Linked DNA regions of Drosophila melanogaster. The protein of the gene in region 3 interacts with the protein of the main gene of each other region in a pairwise test. Each region holds a gene or a part of one and is shown on either strand. Other genes may lie near its edges.

Region 1 (3,870 bases), on a different chromosome or scaffold from region 3:
TATTTACTTCTATATATTTATATTTTATTTTCATGCTAACCATAAATACTTCTTTCTCGGTGTAGAACCAGAAGTGAGGAGCTCCGGGAATCGGTTATTTTGTTTCAAGCTGATTTAGATTATTTTCGGTTCTCGACTTTCGCCGAGATAAGCAAAATAATTCGTTCTTCGGCGTTGATAAGTCTGTCTCCGTTGTGGGTACAGTGAGCACTCGAGCGAGGGCCAATGTCGGCCATTGACGAATGGAGTTTGATAAACAATCAAGAATATTTGAATGCGTGAGCTATGTAAGTAAGTATATGTGCTGGTGCTGCGAAGATCTTGGAGAAGAAAAGAGCACTCAGATATCTTTTCGATGAGTGATTCGACTTAGCTAAAACTAGTTTTACGCTCTTTCCCACTCATAGTTCCCTAATATGCGCAGATCGTTTTCTAGTATTCACTACATATGATATGTCAGAAGAATATAAGAAACATATCACAATAAATAAACCAAAACTCCTTTTATTATGCTTTATTGATTTCCATTGAAATAGACACATTTATATAATTATCTTGGCTTCGTTCATGTTTTTTGTTTTTCTTTTGTTTCTTGAATATCTGTCGTTTAAAATACAAAGTATTCAAAGTTGCTCAGTTTGATGCCTTTAATTCAGTACATAGTATACGAAGGACTTTTCATCTTATACATACATGTATATATATTGATAGTTCCTGGATCTAGCAAAAGTTTAAAAAGTTGTTACTCGCCCGCGCCGTCGCTTCGATATCCAACAACATCTAAATACAAGTATGTAATAATGTAAGTGTAATTGCAATGGAACGTTTACTTTACTGACTCAATATCCTGATCCCTTCCGCAGGACCTTCGATCAACATCTATGCGACATCTATGCTTTATGCTCATTATGCGGCTATTCTCGTACTTGTCTCACATTTTTTTTAGGTTTTTCGTTTGTTTTTTTTTTTTTGTTTTGTTTTGTTTTTGGTTTTACCTCAGTTTTACAACATTAATTTTAATTACAAAAGTTATTAAATAATACAAAATACAGTTAGAGTTTACAGTTCTCCATTTCGTCTAGAAACATCTCGCTTTTAACTTTTAGTTGAAATTAATGCACGAATAAACAGAATAATTGGATTATGAATTACAGAACACTCGAAACAAACTCAGAACTCGGAAACGAAACAAAAGCAAGAGTTGGGTTGGGTTGGGTTGGGGGAATCCCCCCCTAGCAGCGGAAATTAGTGGCAAAATTGTAACAAAGAAACTACGGATGAGCCATTTAGCCTGGCCACGCTTAGGTTACATAATGGTTTTATAGTTAATAATATTACGTTTAAGCAGAGTCCGTCGGTGGAACACCACCGACCAACTGTCTAACTCTTTTAGAGCAGGGCGCACTTGCGCTTGGACTTGGGCTGCAGCACGGGGCACAAAACCGACCGGATGGCCTCGTCGAAAACGGTTTTCAGACCCTTCTGCGTCAGGGCCGAGCACTCCAGATACTTGACCGCTCCGATTTCCTTGGCCATGGCCAGGCCCTGCGGATAGGTGATGGGCGCCAGTTTCTTGTCCCTCAGCTTTTCGATTGTGTTCTTGTCGTCGCGCAAATCCAGCTTGGTGCCCACCAGGATGATGGGCGTGCTGGGGCAGTGGTGGCGCACCTCCGGATACCACTTGGCCCGCACGTTCTCGAACGATGCCGGATTCACCAGCGAGAAGCAGATGAGGAAGACATCGGTCTGGGGATAAGACAGTGGCCTCAGTCGGTCGTAGTCCTCCTGCCCGGCCGTATCCCACAGGCCCAGGTTGATGGGCTTGGCGTCCACCATCACGTTGGCCGAGTAGTTGTCGAACACGGTGGGTATGTACTCGCCGGGAAAGGCATTGGTCGTGTAGCTGATCAGCAGGCAGGTCTTTCCCACGGCTCCGTCGCCCACGACGACGCACTTGATCGCCTGCATGGTTCGATTTCCTCGACTTTCTGGACTGGAGTGCTATGTGCCTAGAGATTGGAGATTGAAGATTGCAGATTTCTGATTGCGGGGGTGCTTCTTCTTCAGGCGTTTTTGGTTCTTTTTGGGGCGGCGGCGGAGGACTGTTGCTTGCGTGGGTCCTTTTGCGGGGTTATCTCTGGAAGCGCGACTCCTTTTCCAGTGCCTTGTGGTCCTCGGGGCGACTGATGATCGCGCCTTACGTTCTGGGCCTCTTTAACTCGCGTTTTGTGCGTTAATTTCCCTAATTTTCTCAACAAAAAAAGTAAATTTTCTGTGTACTGCAGTGTGACCGCGGCTGGACTGTTCAAATTTACCATGGGAAAGCTGTAAAATACTAAAACAAATTAAAACTGCATTGAAATGGTCACCCTAAGATTTGTAAATTATTTCAAGGCTTCGTCCTTAAAGCAAACATAAAACCCTTAAGTTTCGCATTTACTTATAATTAAATCCGAATTACAAAATATATAATTTCATTGTCTTCCTGTTTATGTCAGTGATTTGAAGTGAGAACAAGCTGTTTTTAGTAGGGCTGGGCCCCAGAAGTGCAGCTTCTGGGCTTTGGCTGCACCTGGTCACACTTCTGGCAGCAAATAATACAATTTCGAAAATTAGAATTTATTTGCTGCTCAATAGCCAAGTCAATAACACCTGTTCCTTGCCCATCCAGAATGTCTGACGTGTTCATCGTGTCCGCCGCCCGCACGCCCATTGGTAAAACCAAGATAAATCGGCTGCACCATACACGATAACCACATTCTAATTGGAAACTTTCTCTTCGTGTTTGTCCAATCTGAAAAATCAACAGGTAGCTTCAATGGAACGCTTTCTAAACTGAAGGCCTCCGACCTGGGCAGCGTGGTCATCCAGGAGGTACTCCGGCGGGCGAATGTGGAGGGCCAGGAGGTCAACGAAGTCATCTTGGGCCAGGTGGGACCCATATCATAACTGTTTCTCCTCCTATCTTACCGATCTATTTGTTATGTAAATATCTTTGTTAGGCTCTAAGCGCCGGTCAGGGTCAGAATCCAGCACGTCAGGCTTCACTCAAGGCGGGTCTGCCCATTCAGGTGCCAGCCTACGGCATAAACATGCTATGTGGTTCCGGCTTAAAGTGAGTTTGTCCCGTACAATTCCGTACATTTACAATGGTTTTTACCATTTCCAGAACTGTAGCGCTGGGTTACCAGGCCATCCGCTCGGGAGACGCACAGATTGTTGTGGCAGGAGGTCAGGAGAGCATGTCCCTGGCTCCACACGTCATGCATCTGCGGCAGGGCGTCAAAATGGGTCCGGGCACTATGGTGGACTCGATGATCCACGACGGCCTAACCGATGCCATGGAGAACATACACATGGGCATCACTGCCGAGAATCTGGCCGATAAGTATAACATCAGTCGTGAGGCCCAGGATGCCTATGCCGTGCTGTCGCAAAATCGAGCCGAGGAGGCCCAAAAAAAGGGTTACTTCGACAAGGAGATTGTGCCCGTGGAGATCAAGGATCGCAAGGGTACGACCACATTCAGCAAGGATGAGTACATCAAGGCGGGCAGCACCGTCGAGGGTATACAGAAGCTCAGGGCAGCCTTCAAAGAGGTGGGTCTAAGATAAATACAAGAAGAGCGAGAGTTAACCCACTTTCTCTTGCTTATGTAGGGCGGCTCTATAACCGCTGGCAATGCCTCAGGCGTCAACGACTCCGCTGCTGCCGTACTACTGATGTCCGGCGAGGAGGTGGCCAGGAAGGGTCTTAAGCCGCTGGCTAGGATTGTGGGCTGGACTCAGAGTGGCATTGAGCCAAAGGTGATGGGACTGGGACCAGTCACAGCTGTGGAAGCATTGGTAGTTACACGGAAATTCCACTTCT
Region 2 (7,765 bases), on a different chromosome or scaffold from region 3:
TTGTGGTTTGCAACACCTTATAAGATCAACATAAATGTTGAAACTAACTGAGCACGGATTTTCTCGCAGTGCAGGCACGGCAGGAAGCGCTCCTCCCGTGACGAGTTCATCGCGCAGTGATATTCGATATTGATTGAGACCCCCACTTGTCCCCCAGCACTTCTTGATGTTTGCCATGGGCAAACTGTTTTGAGTCTCCTGACTGCCTGGCAACCTACTTTGTGACTCCGCTGCTCACATGTGTGGGCCCTGTTTGTTTTTATGATTTTTTTTTTTCCAGTCCGATGTCTGCCTGCGGGTCTTTATGGACAGCCATATGGATTACTCCAGTACTCGCATTCGTAGTGCCCCTTAGAAATATTTAGTTGCCAAATCATTTAAGCCGCGGCACACGCTCTGGTCCAAAAAAAAAAAAAAACAAAACAAAAATGGTAAAAAAAAAAAACGAACTGAACCATTCTGACAGAGCCATTAAAGCTAGCCGGTAATCGGTTGGCTCAAATCAGAGATCGGTGAACCACCAACAGCCACTACACAACCACTTACAATGGGCCACAATAATGTTAATTGGAAATAACGTTTAGGAATTGTTGTGGGGCAAAAAACCGAATCAGACTGAAACATAAGCCAGCGAGTCAGAAACAGAGGCTCAGATCTCTGAGAGCTGAGTGCTCCAAGTTGAGATAGACAATGTTGTATATGAATTTTTCATAACATGCTACAAGCTGTGCCTCCAGGTACCTCCCCCCCCCCATTTCCCGCCGCCGTCGCCGCTTTTCGCCGCCAAAGAACAGTTGAAATGAAGGAAACAAAAACGCAGCGAGCGAGGGAAAAATACTTGTAATAGTCACTCGAGGGGGAAATATAAATTATTGAGCTCGTTTCTTAAGTAATTATCGCACTGACGGACGGAACCAACTTACTGAATCACAAACACTGACCGAATGACTAACTGGCGGATGGACAGACTGACCAACTGGTTAAACGACGGTCACGAGACGTCGGCGAGGCTTCAAGATTGCCGGCAGAAAAAAGCCTCGGGCGCAACTTTGTAAGATTCGAGAGCTTATCGCATACCCTTCGAAACTGCATAAGAAATTTGAGATGGAACTTGCGCAATTTCATAGCTAGGCGAAAAGTTGTAAGGGTATGCCCTACAATTCATTGTATCATTGTAGCTCTCTGAAGATATTGCATATTTTAGGGAAACTGCTTGAAACTCTGTTTCAGTGCCTGAAAACTTCTCAAAATATAAACTTTTGAGTATTAAAATAAAATCGCCTTTCAATAATCTGAATCTTACATCCTTCCCTCAACGAAAATCGTGTAAAACGAGAACGTTTTTTCTCAATAGGTTCTATGCAGACTACTTGCCCTCACGTCTTTTAATTGTCATGCCATTTGGGAATCGTCTGAAGCGACTGTGAGTCAGGTTGTGGTCTCTCCATCTACCTGGCCATTATGCTCGGTTCCCAGCTCGGGGTCAATCCAGCTCAACATCCATAGCACATCTCATCATTTCTCATTATTTTATTGACTTTGAAGTGTAATTATTTGCCTTTTAGACGAATTCAAAGCGCAGCAGCCGCTAAAATGAGAGAAAAATACAGATTGTGAGCCGATACTCAGTTTCTCGCTCACGTCTTTTCTGCTCATTCGCCTTTAGATATATTTTTTTTCTCGGCTTTTGTTTGTCTTGGCCTCGACTGAGAGACCGTTTCGGTCTCTGAGACCCAGTCGCGATCTCGGTCTGGATCTTGGCTTTAGTCTCCAGCGGGTCTTGAGTGCGTTCAGACGTGTGCAGCTGAGATCTTGGAACGACGAATGGTGATCGGTGATCTCTGATCAGTGACCAGTGGGCAGAGAGCGAATAGCCAAGATCCAAGAGCCTAGGCAAACATAAATACGATACATCCGATCCGATCCGATCGTTCGGTTTCATAGTGTGCTTAAGTGTGGGATCGATCGTGGGATCTGTTTAGTGTCTGTGACGCCTCTGCAAATATTGGCCAACGGTTAATGGCCATGAAGAAGCTCTACGCGAAGACCTCGTTCACCAGCAAGAAGCCATCGAGTGCCGCCAATTCCACTCCGATATTGGCCTACCACCAGCAACAGCATCAGCAGCCGGGCAATGGCATTTGCGAGTTCCAGGTGGTGGCACCTGGTCACTCCGGTGAGCTAATGATACGCCGCAGCCAAAGTATGCACCACAAGATGTCGCCTCCAGTCGGCGGCCTGGGCTCCAAGTCGGAGTACTACAGCATTGAGGAGCTGCAGGAGCTGGATTTGCTGGACTATCGTCATCCCATGTACCATCATTATCAGCAGCAGGAGCTGAGGCAGCGCTACCATGAGCACGAGCAGTTGGTGCTGCAGTTACCCAAGGCTACTAGTCCAAAGGCAGGACCCATCTATGAGGCACCACAGAGATCTCAGCAGCAGCAGGATCAGATGTTGTATGTACCAACGGCAGCGCAAAGAGATTCATCATCAAGTGCTGCAGCCACATCTATAGCCAGCTCATCTACCCTAACTTCATCCCCATCGCCATCCTCCTCTTCATCTCTGATCTTTTCCACTTTGCGCAAATGCGTTTCGCCCTCGAATCCCTCGGTGAATCCGAACCAACCCTCAAAAACTCAACCCTCCAAACTGGGCTGTTCCATGTCGTTTTCAATTAGAACGACAACGGCAACAGCAGCCACAGCCGCAGCAGCAAATGCAGCAACAGCAACACTATCGACACAGCAGCAACAACAGCAGGCACAGCAGCAACACAAGCAACATCTCTATAGCAACATACATCATTATCTGATCCGACAACAACAGCAGAAACAACACTACACATTACAACGTCGCCATAATTCGGTCAAAGATAAATTCATTGGGGGCATTACAACGATTTTTGCGTATGTGTAACCCACTTCCCTATGCGTCTGTCCTTGGTTGGGTTCTGTAATAATTCCCATATTTCCCCACTTTTCTCTACTATACTTCTTCAATCTCAGCACGTAGTACTTGGCCCTGGACTTTTGAATGCGTTTTACAGCTTGGTGAGATCGTTCGTAAATCAAAGAACTCTTAACCCCCACAGAGCAGCCGCCGTCGTACTCTCCGGTTTAATCATAATTATAATTTAACGCCAATTAAGCTGGAAAACGCTATCGTGTGCACACGAATCTGCATCTTGCACTCGGCTGCAGTTTAAAAACTTAAGCTTAACGCACGAATAAATCCCCAAGGCATAGAAAATTTCACCTGCCACATATTGAAAATGCTCCCAAAGCGATTTTCCAGTGGCTCAATTATATTAGCATCCCATTTAACTGGCCATTTGCGGGGCACTTTTCGATTTTCATTTGGGTTTTCCACTCAGCTGCACAGCGCAAAAAAACGATTAAGATGTTAGTTTTTACTGAAATATTTAATTGCTTTCTTTAACGATTAAAATACTATGTATCACATGTGTCGATTTTACGATTCATGAACTCATTTCCATTTCTTTACAATCTAATGTAATTAAAACAGTCGTACAGTTCTATGATTGTAGCTTAAATCTCGGAATTGGCACGTTTAATAGGCACTTATTACGTGTAAAATCGAATGAAAGCATTTATGCACTGAATGTTAGTCACAAAATGCATTACTAATCCCAACTACTTTGCTGCTGCGAACTACTGAAATAATTTTAGTTGCATTAAAATTGTTTAAAAGAGTACAACACTTTTACAAAAGCAATTCTTTTGCTCACTCCGACTTCCTATAATTATTTTCGAATATGTAGTATCCAATTTATGAGATATAAATCGATTCGATTGTAAAAAACAGAAATTTAAAAAAACTGATTGACCGCTATTGTTTCGCAGTTTCTCATAGTGTGCAGAAAAAAAAAACTTCACTTTCGTTGCCACGAATTTCGATGCAAATCAAAGCGGACAGGCTCATAAGACTTAGCTCCAAACTGTCGGTGGTTATATAAGGCCCTGAAACGGCGCACAGCTGTGCCAGCCGCCAGAGTGCGACTCGGATTCGGATTGAGATTCGTCCGTCTGTCCAGCCGTCCGTACCGCCGATCTGCGCACTCCATTTAAGTGCAAAACTACTTGCGGCTTTTGGCCGGGCCAAGTCTGTAGCGAGAATACTGCCGACTCGACTCGTTTGGCGGCTGCTCTCCGTCATTATCTCTATGTGTCCCCCAGTAACACACAACTCGGAGCAACTTGGAGCAACTTGGAGCTGCTCAGGCAACTTGGAGCGGTGCAGGCTAGCAAAAACAAAAAAAGGGGCAGAGAAAAAAAGAAAAAAAAAAAGAACGGAGCTATAGGATAGAAAGAACACCACATAGCCAAGTTGAGCAAAAGGCAAGGCAACTCGTCATCGCCTTTGCATTTTTCCAATGAAGGCGTTCATTTGTCGCTGGCCATGTTTACTTCACTGGCTGACTTTAATTGTCAACTCAACTGAGTGTCCCGGGGGGAGAAAATGCTAAAGGTTGAATGCAGCATATACACGTTCATATTAGAACTTTCATTAGAATCATTTAATCGGTCCGTGCGACTCGAGACGATCATCTGGCTGGATGACAGGTGTGCGGGCATACAAAGAAATGCATTGCACTTCCTGTCCTGAAACCGATGGGATTAGAGGGGAGTCGAGGGTATACATAGATCAAAGCCCTTGCTCACTTGAGGCGTGTGAAAAGTCTGGAAGATCACGGTGCAGTAAAGTGCAGTTGAATGAGTTCTTCAAGGGGCAAATTGTAGAGCCGATCTAATGATCTGAAAACGACTGCTCATTGCGACATTCTTTCTGGGAAGTCTTAATCGAGTCTAAGAAGTTTTTTTTATTATGACGGAAAATCGATTTCTATGAATATATGTAGAAGCTTTCCATAGAACAATATATACTTTTTACTTCCAATCCCACGAAAGCCATCAATAAATTTGTATCTCTTTTATTGAACTCGTTTAGTGCAAATAATAAAGTTGCCAAATTTGACTAATTTGTTAGCACAACTTCCGTTTCGTTTCCCACGATCTTTTAAGACTTTAAAAGAGTTAACATCATAAAATGGAATTTTTGTACATACATATATGTTTCTCGCACATTTTCATATCTTTTCTTCTCAAGGCAAGGGCTATTCCCTATAATAAATTTTCAGCTCGAACTTCTTGAAGTGTGTTAAGTCCTCATCATTTCCATACACATTCAAGGTTCCATTCCATACCATTTAAGTCAGCCAACTAACCATAATATTCACACTTATTTCTTGCAGTGAGCAGAGTATTATCGGGGCGCGGGCCTCTGTGATGGTGTACGATGACAACCAGAAGAAGTGGGTGCCATCGGGCAGCTCGTCGGGATTGAGCAAGGTGCAGATCTACCACCACCAGCAGAACAACACGTTCCGTGTGGTGGGACGAAAGCTGCAGGATCACGAGGTGGTCATCAACTGCTCCATTCTGAAGGGACTGAAGTACAATCAGGCCACGGCAACATTTCATCAGTGGCGCGATTCGAAATTCGTTTACGGCTTGAACTTCTCGAGCCAAAATGATGCGGAGAACTTTGCTAGGGCCATGATGCATGCCCTGGAAGTAAGTATATCTCTTTCACAACCAATATCTGTATCATTCGCTAACATTTGAATGTCTTTCTCAGGTGCTCAGTGGTCGCGTGGCGAACAACCCAGGTGGACCGCCCACAAATGGCAATGGCTATGAGGAGGACATGGGCTATCGCACGATGACCAGCGAGGATGCAGCCATACTGCGTCAGAACAACAGCATAGGTGGGCACGTCACGCCCTCGGCCCAGACGCCCACCTCGCAGACCAACCAGAATAACATCCCCCAGAGCCCGCCGACGCCCCAGGGTCATCATCGCACCAGCAGGTAGGCTCCATTTCCATTAATTGTGTTGGATACGGCATGCTCATTGCTGTGGAAAAACCCATTAGCTTAGACTCGATTGATCTAACCATTCAAGAAATATTCAATTTTATGAGAATAAGTCATTAGCACATATTGGTCGGAAGGAACATCAGTTTTCTTTGAACATTATAAAGCTGAAAATCCGTGGTTGTTATAAATGAATCCTAAGATCAAAAATTTCATTAGTCTTCAGATGCAGATACATTTTCTTGCAAGATATGTAATGTAGGATACAATTGTAGGATTGCATTACGCAAGTTGGGAACAATTTCTATCCACTTACACATGAGCAGTAGGGGCCAACACTTTTATCCGAGTTCTCGTGTCTCATCTCTCATATCACTCATTGATCCATCCCCATCCCACGCCGAACCTTTGCTCACCCAAAAAGGAATTCCCTCAGCGCCCCACCGGCACCACAGCCCCAACAGCAGCAGCAGCAGCAGCAGGCGCAGCAAATGGGTCAGCCAGGATCCCACTATGGACCCACTGGAAATGGACCCACTTCGAATGGCCTGCCACAGCAGGTGAACTCACAGATTCCGCCGGCACCGCAGCAGCAGCCACAACAGCAACAGTTTCAGCAGCAGCAGCAGCAACAGCAATATCAGCAAATGGTCCAGGCGGGCTATGCGCCCTCTCAGGTGAGTTCGATATGCTATAACCTCACCCCGTCCCAGTTTCCTCATGCGGTATTTCTGTTTCATTTCATTGGCAAATTGGCTTGATCCTGAATCTGAATCTCCTGAAAACCCCGACACACCACCACCATCACACCCCAACAGCAGTATCAGCAACCCCACTACGTGCTCTCCAATTCTAATCCCAATCTAACTGTGCACCAATACCCGACACAGCAGGCGCAGCAGCAGCCACCGCAAGCGCCACAGCCGCCGCTCCAGAACGGTGGAATGTACATGGTGGGTCATGGTCATCTACCGAGCTCCGCGAGCGCCAACAGTGTTGTGTACGCCAGCCAGCAGCAGATGCTCCCGCAGGCGCATCCACAGGCACCTCAGGCGCCGACGATGCCAGGTCCGGGCTACGGTGGTCCACCAGTACCTCCGCCCCAGCAGCAGGCAGAGAATCCGTACGGTCAGGTACCCATGCCGCCGCCAATGAATCCGTCACAGCAACAGCAGCCAGGTCAGGTGCCTCTAAACCGGATGAGCAGCCAGGGTGGTCCAGGTGGCCCACCGGCTCCTGCTCCGCCCCCGCCACCACCCAGTTTTGGTGGAGCTGCTGGAGGAGGACCACCACCACCAGCCCCGCCACAGATGTTCAACGGCGCACCGCCGCCGCCAGCCATGGGCGGTGGACCACCGCCGGCTCCACCGGCACCGCCAGCAATGGGTGGCGGACCACCGCCAGCACCGGGCGGACCAGGGGCACCACCACCACCGCCTCCGCCGCCGGGATTGGGAGGAGCGCCTAAGAAGGAAGATCCCCAGGCAGATCTCATGGGCTCGCTGGCCTCCCAGCTGCAGCAGATCAAGCTCAAAAAGAATAAGGTAAAATATCAATTTATTTAATTTATACAACTTGACTAAGCATTGTATTACCGTTTATTTTTTATTTTTAGGTCACCACCTCTGCTCCGGAGAATAGCGGCAGCAGCACGTCCAGTGGCGGCAGCGGCAACTATGGAACCATAGGACGAAGCTCTAATGGCATGGCCTCCATGATGGACGAGATGGCCAAGACGCTGGCACGACGACGCGCCCAAGCAGAAAAGAAGGATGTAAGTCAACTTTGTTTAACTTATTCCATAATCAATATCTTAATTCGTTGGCATATTGCAGCCCGATCCTGAAGCCGAAGTGAAAAAA
Region 3 (5,134 bases):
ATGCCAAAAACGTTAATAACTAAGCGGAGCTCATTATGCGGCGATAGCGAAAATTCCACAAGTGCCAAAAATCTCCTAAATTGGTAGTTTTTCAATGAATGAACATGCCACACGATGGCACTCAGATTCTGTCACCCAAAGTCGGTTTTCTCAATGCAAAGCCATGTATATAAATGTGTTTATCATAAACTTTTATTAGCAGCCCAAAAACACAACTCTCTCACAAGGTCCAGCTCAGCTGATCAATCGGAAAAGGAAAAAGCTAAGTATTCACAATGATTCATCCGAATCAAGATCAAAACTGGGTAACTTGGGTAATGCGAAGTTGGGAAAAACAACAAAGGCACCTGCGAAGGCAGCGAGAGATAATAAAACGAAAGTGATGCGCGTGCAGAAATGGCAGGTAGATAAAAGAATGAGTGTGATGGTGAGGTGACGTAGGCAGCGGATCGAATTTGGCCAAAATCGGTTCCTAATCTAATAAGCGGCGAGATGAACTTCATTCGACGGACAAAGCACTAGGGAGTGGCTGCCCGAATCGAGTGGAATCTCGCTGGGAGAGCGAGCAGGATAAGAGCACATGGATTCGTATTTGTATTCGGATTCGGAGTCGACAGGAAGTTGCACACGCACACAGACAGCCACACTCACAAAAGGGCGAAAACGTGGCGCGCATACGAGAAATACTCAGAGCATTCGCATTCGAAGGTAGCAGATTCAGATTCAGAATCGAAATCAGTAAAAGAAGCCGAAGCGGAGTCAACTCCACTCAATTCGATTCACTCTGCGCTGGTGACGCGGCATCGCATGCTCAAGATATTTTCTGTACTTCTGTTCGTTTCATTTTGGTTCTGTTCTGTTTGGTTCTGTATTTCGCTCCGATAAAGAGCATTTATTTTGGCCGTCGCCGCAGAGGAAACGGTCCGTCTGTATTGAGTGCGATAAAGGCGAGCGATAGCGAAGGGGTGGGGCTGATGCCAGGCGCCTGTGGGCTGCATTATCAGGAACCAGTGTTGCACAGCACCGCAGACATTCGAACCGGCTGCGCTGATATCAGATTTCCCGGTCCCGGCCCCGCCCCCGCTCTCCACACCACACACTCATCGCCGCATGCAAGTGCATTGGTGATTACCGCGAAGCGAAGCTGCACCTCCTTAGTCACCGATAAACAGAAATCCATCCGTATCGGCTAGGTCGCCCAATTGGTCTCCCTGCTGGGTTGTATGATCACGCACACTCCCTCAAAAGCGTAGGCGGGAGAGGAGGGGGTAGCGGGCCTGCGCAGGAGTGGCGCTGCAGGGGGTGAAACTGACAAGGGCGAGGGCGAAGGGGTGGGAGTTGCTCTTTATCAAATGAAAGTTATCATGGCGGCCGCGAGAGGAAGACAGCGCGAGAGTCACACCCTTGAACTTGCGAAAATTCATTGTCAACTATCCGTTTTTCCGTCCGAATTCCATTCTATGGGTTTTCCCAACCGCTTTCCGTCCATTAGTCCATTCCGTTCGACGTACTCACCTCAAAGCCACTGGACTGCGCCCAAATGTTGCCGTCGTGGCCGGCGATGCACGCCTTGGTCACGCACTGCGAGGCCAGGAGTTGGTTGTCCACATAATCTTGCCAGCTCATGGTGCTTTGTTTGTCGTGGGTGCGGATTAAGTTGAACTGATATATATGGATCTGGATATGGATCGCTGTTGCTTTACCGCACGGCGAGTCGCACTTTCGTTTCGGGGGTCACACGAAATTGGCAGGGAGACAAAGAAAAACCGCAACACCGACGATTTTTTCTTGGGGTAACTTACTTTCAACTGCAACGAGAGGTGGAGAAAGAGAGAGAGAGAGAGAGATGGATTAACATTTATCAAATCGTATCGTATTTTATCATGCGGCAGTGGGTGTTGCATCCGCCCTTGACAAATTACCGGGTATCGGCGGAATTGTGTTATGCACATTTATGTATATACATATAAGTATATATATCTAGTGATTTTGATTGTGATGCATTGCACAAAGCGCCTAATTTTCCGCCTCCGAAAAACTCACATATATACACACACACGCACGGGGGATGAGACCAAGAGCAAGAGCAAGACCAAGGAGACCAAGACAGACAGAAACAGAAACCGTACGCCGCAGCTCCACACACACGTCCGACTCGCTGGGAATTTTCGAAGCGTTCGAGGCGGATTTCAAAAGTCGAATGAGCGCAAAGCAGAACCATAAACCGATTTTGAATTCGAGAAAACCCACTCGAGAGAGTGAGAGATGGAGAGAGAGTGGCGAAAGAGTGCGCGCTGCAGGGGGCTGCTTGCCTTGCCTCTGCTCCAAAGCGCTCAATTCCAAGCCGTGAGTCACCCGTTCACTCACCCACTGCCACTGCTTTCGAGTGGGGCAGAGAGTGAGCGAGCGAGAGCCGTAGCCAGGGCGAGTGCAACGGTGCGCCTGGAGTGGGTGTGTGAGCGAGACGGTCGTACGAGGCGGGCCGTTATTAATCAGCCGGCTGCGGACAATGCAAATGAGCGAGTGAGAGCAGACGATGACTCAACGGCGGCTCTCCGAGTGAGTGTTATGAATCGTCACTTTGTTGGCCGGCACTGAGTAACTGTCATAAATTAAAAATAGCCTTTAATTTCAACGCCTATATGTTCGAATCCCATCTCACATATCATAATGTGCTGCGCTGCACCGCACCCGCAATATGTTAGCATTGGCTGCTTGACAAATCGAATGGAATACCGAGTACCGAATGCCGTATGCCGAATACCGACCGGCTGCTGCTGAACTTTTCCCACTTAATTTTTTGCACACTTATACACACAGGCATACACACACACACACCCGCAGACGGCGACGCACAGCCAACGCGGTTGGCCAAGTAGCGCGTACATGTGTGGGTTTTCGCCATTTAAGGCGTGCACCCAGCACGAAAGTCGCTTTGTACGCAATTTACCCAAAGTGTTGGTCGGTTTTCGATTTTTGTCGAACCACCCCACGTTCAGTAAGTCTAGAGAAATCTCTTTCTAAACGGATTTCCAGGAAACCCACGGCACTCACACTGTTCACACGCTGCGGTAAAAATTCAGAGTGACCGTCGACAAGCGGTAGTACTGGAACACAAGTCGCTGTTCGCTCGAAACAATCGATGTGTGCCAAAATTCGATCACGATATTCCTCGCAATCGATTGTATTCGCTATTTGCCTTCGTAAGTCCCGGTTAGACCAGCGGCATGAAAAGTTTAAATTCACTTCCACATTCGAGTACTATGAGATAAGATTACTGTACTTAAACTCAAAAAGATTCAAAACAACACTGATCGTTAAGCTACTAAGACAAATAGCTGGCCGGTTCCAGTCCCACGATTTAAAAACAGTTCACTGAATAGCAGCATATGTAAAATTCCATACTTTCATATATTTGTATAATATGATTCACATAAGGTTGTTGTTCAAATGGTTGAATACTACAATTAAGTCTTTACAACAAGAGAATGTAATCTGTTGGAAAACAATATTACAATCAAATTTATTAAACAAATATAAGATTCGGGTTTAAATATTTATACTGGTGGAAAACTTTGATGGGCGTAATATCGATAGCAAATAAAATAGCGAAGTCAGGCACCCCAGCTCTGGGTCTGCAGCCCTGAACTTCAAGTGGCACCTCCAAAATAACGTAAAAAAGTGCAAAATAATACAAATTGAATTCAAAATATTTGCATTATTTTATGCTTTGTTTTTCTTTACCATACACACTGCGAAGCCGCAGCGAAATTGCCGGATATCCGCTAACATCTGGCGATAGTTGGCGATCGATCTATCGATAGTCGCTAATGTTTTCTTACATCACTAAAACTTTTGCAAGATGGAGCCTCTTTTGCTTGGTTTTAACAAATCAGTAGCAGCACGTGTATAAAAAGTGCCAAATAATTTTCAGAAAATGTTAGTATATACCCTAGATTAAGCGTTTGAAATGTAAAAAGCCGCAAGGCGATCTTGTGCCGCATCGATTCCGCAACTGCTTAGCATAATTTCCGCGTGTTTTAATGCAAAAAACGCGATTTTAAATTTCTGACGGTCAAAATGAGTGGAAAAAAATTACACGCCCGTATGACAGTGCAGGGAGTGGGAGTGAGAGGCAGCCACCATGCGAGCGAGAGAGAGCGAGCGCAGTGGTTGCTCCAAGAGAGTTTTGTTGCTGGACTCGGTCTTTGCACCCCTCCCCCTTCGCCTTGGCGAAACCTAGAACTCCGAACTGGGGACTTTTGTTGAAGTCCGGTGACGTCGGTGTCGCCACTTGACTGGATTTTATGCACTCTCGTCCGTCCGTTCGCTTGACTCATGACTGGACAATGACGCAGACCGCTGATTCTATCTTTAGTGGACGACGGCATTCGTGGGCTGATTTAGCCTTGCTCCAACTCAATTTTCGATTTGCTTTGGAATATTTGCCTGTCAGTCGGTTTTTTTTTTCTATCCCCACCCCGCCGTACTGTCAAAACTACTGCTATTTTCGATCAACTACTACCATTCGCAACTGGTGTTAGGCAACACTGGCGCCACTGTTACGTGCTAATATCGCTCGGCTGCTCTCGCCCGTTGACATTGACACGAACGACACTAGGGTCGTCCCGCTCGCACACGCTCAGGGGCGGACTCTCGCCGCTTGTCGCTCAAAAAGGCTGCCTAGCTATCGCTTTCGGTCTCATACGTAAAGTCACCGCTTCGCAGAGCGCATCGCAGCACAAACGTAACGGACTAAAAGCAAAGCGCTCGATAGCTCGAGAAAACAACACAGTCGGCGTTCGGCCCGAATTCTCCGTTATTCGTTCTAGACAAATAGGCAAACAGTTGATTGAGTGAACCGGGCCCAAGCCGTCGAAATTCAGGATATAAGTTTACCTAGTCAATTCTTTATTGTTGATAATGTGAGTGGTTGCCAAGCGGCGCTCGCGGTTTTCGATTCTCCCTCCACCAGCCTTACTTACTTTTCGCTTTTCTGCCATTCGCCATAACCAACAATTGTGGCTGGAAAATTTTTTACCCCCGTCCCGCTACTGCTTTTGTTGTTGTTTCCACTGTTCCGCCCCACTAACGCATTCTCGCTTTCTTGCAGGGATGACCGAAATGAGATACC

What was found. The genes of interacting proteins can lie anywhere in the genome.
Region 1: the proteins of chic (region 3) and Rac1 interact in binary tests that used the Drosophila melanogaster proteins (3 or more experiments, as listed by UniProt).
Region 2: the proteins of chic (region 3) and ena interact in binary tests that used the Drosophila melanogaster proteins (3 or more experiments, as listed by UniProt).

What each region holds. Positions count from the first base shown.
Region 1 is NT_037436.4:1,300,379-1,304,248, forward strand, and holds Rac1 (Rac1), read right to left. Parts: upstream 2,306-3,870; 5' UTR 1,969-2,305; coding exon 1,390-1,968; 3' UTR 501-1,389; downstream 1-500. Other genes in the region: Acat2 (Acetyl-CoA acetyltransferase 2), read left to right, coding at 2,673-2,715, 2,810-2,931, 3,003-3,115, 3,170-3,599, 3,660-3,845. UniProt on the Drosophila melanogaster protein: During various developmental processes, regulates changes in cell morphology in response to extracellular signals.
Region 2 is NT_033778.4:19,153,456-19,161,220, forward strand, and holds the start of ena (enabled), read left to right. Parts: upstream 1-1,765; 5' UTR 1,766-2,019; coding exon 2,020-2,912; intron 2,913-5,278; coding exon 5,279-5,600; intron 5,601-5,664; coding exon 5,665-5,897; intron 5,898-6,327; coding exon of another isoform or gene 6,328-6,339; coding exon 6,340-6,580; intron 6,581-6,721; coding exon 6,722-7,447; intron 7,448-7,518; coding exon 7,519-7,677; intron 7,678-7,738; coding exon 7,739-7,765. UniProt on the Drosophila melanogaster protein: Functions, together with Abl, trio and fra, in a complex signaling network that regulates axon guidance at the CNS midline. Required in part for robo-mediated repulsive axon guidance. May be involved in lamellipodial dynamics.
Region 3 is NT_033779.5:5,977,897-5,983,030, forward strand, and holds the start of chic (chickadee), read right to left. Parts: upstream 3,123-5,134; 5' UTR 3,057-3,122; exon of another isoform or gene 2,951-3,056; intron 2,586-2,950; exon of another isoform or gene 2,313-2,585; intron 2,206-2,312; exon of another isoform or gene 2,044-2,205; intron 1,809-2,043; 5' UTR 1,627-1,808; coding exon 1,516-1,626; intron 1-1,515. Other genes in the region: eIF4A (eukaryotic translation initiation factor 4A), read left to right, coding at 3,938-3,939, 5,114-5,134. UniProt on the Drosophila melanogaster protein: Binds to actin and affects the structure of the cytoskeleton. At high concentrations, profilin prevents the polymerization of actin, whereas it enhances it at low concentrations. By binding to PIP2, it may inhibit the formation of IP3 and DG.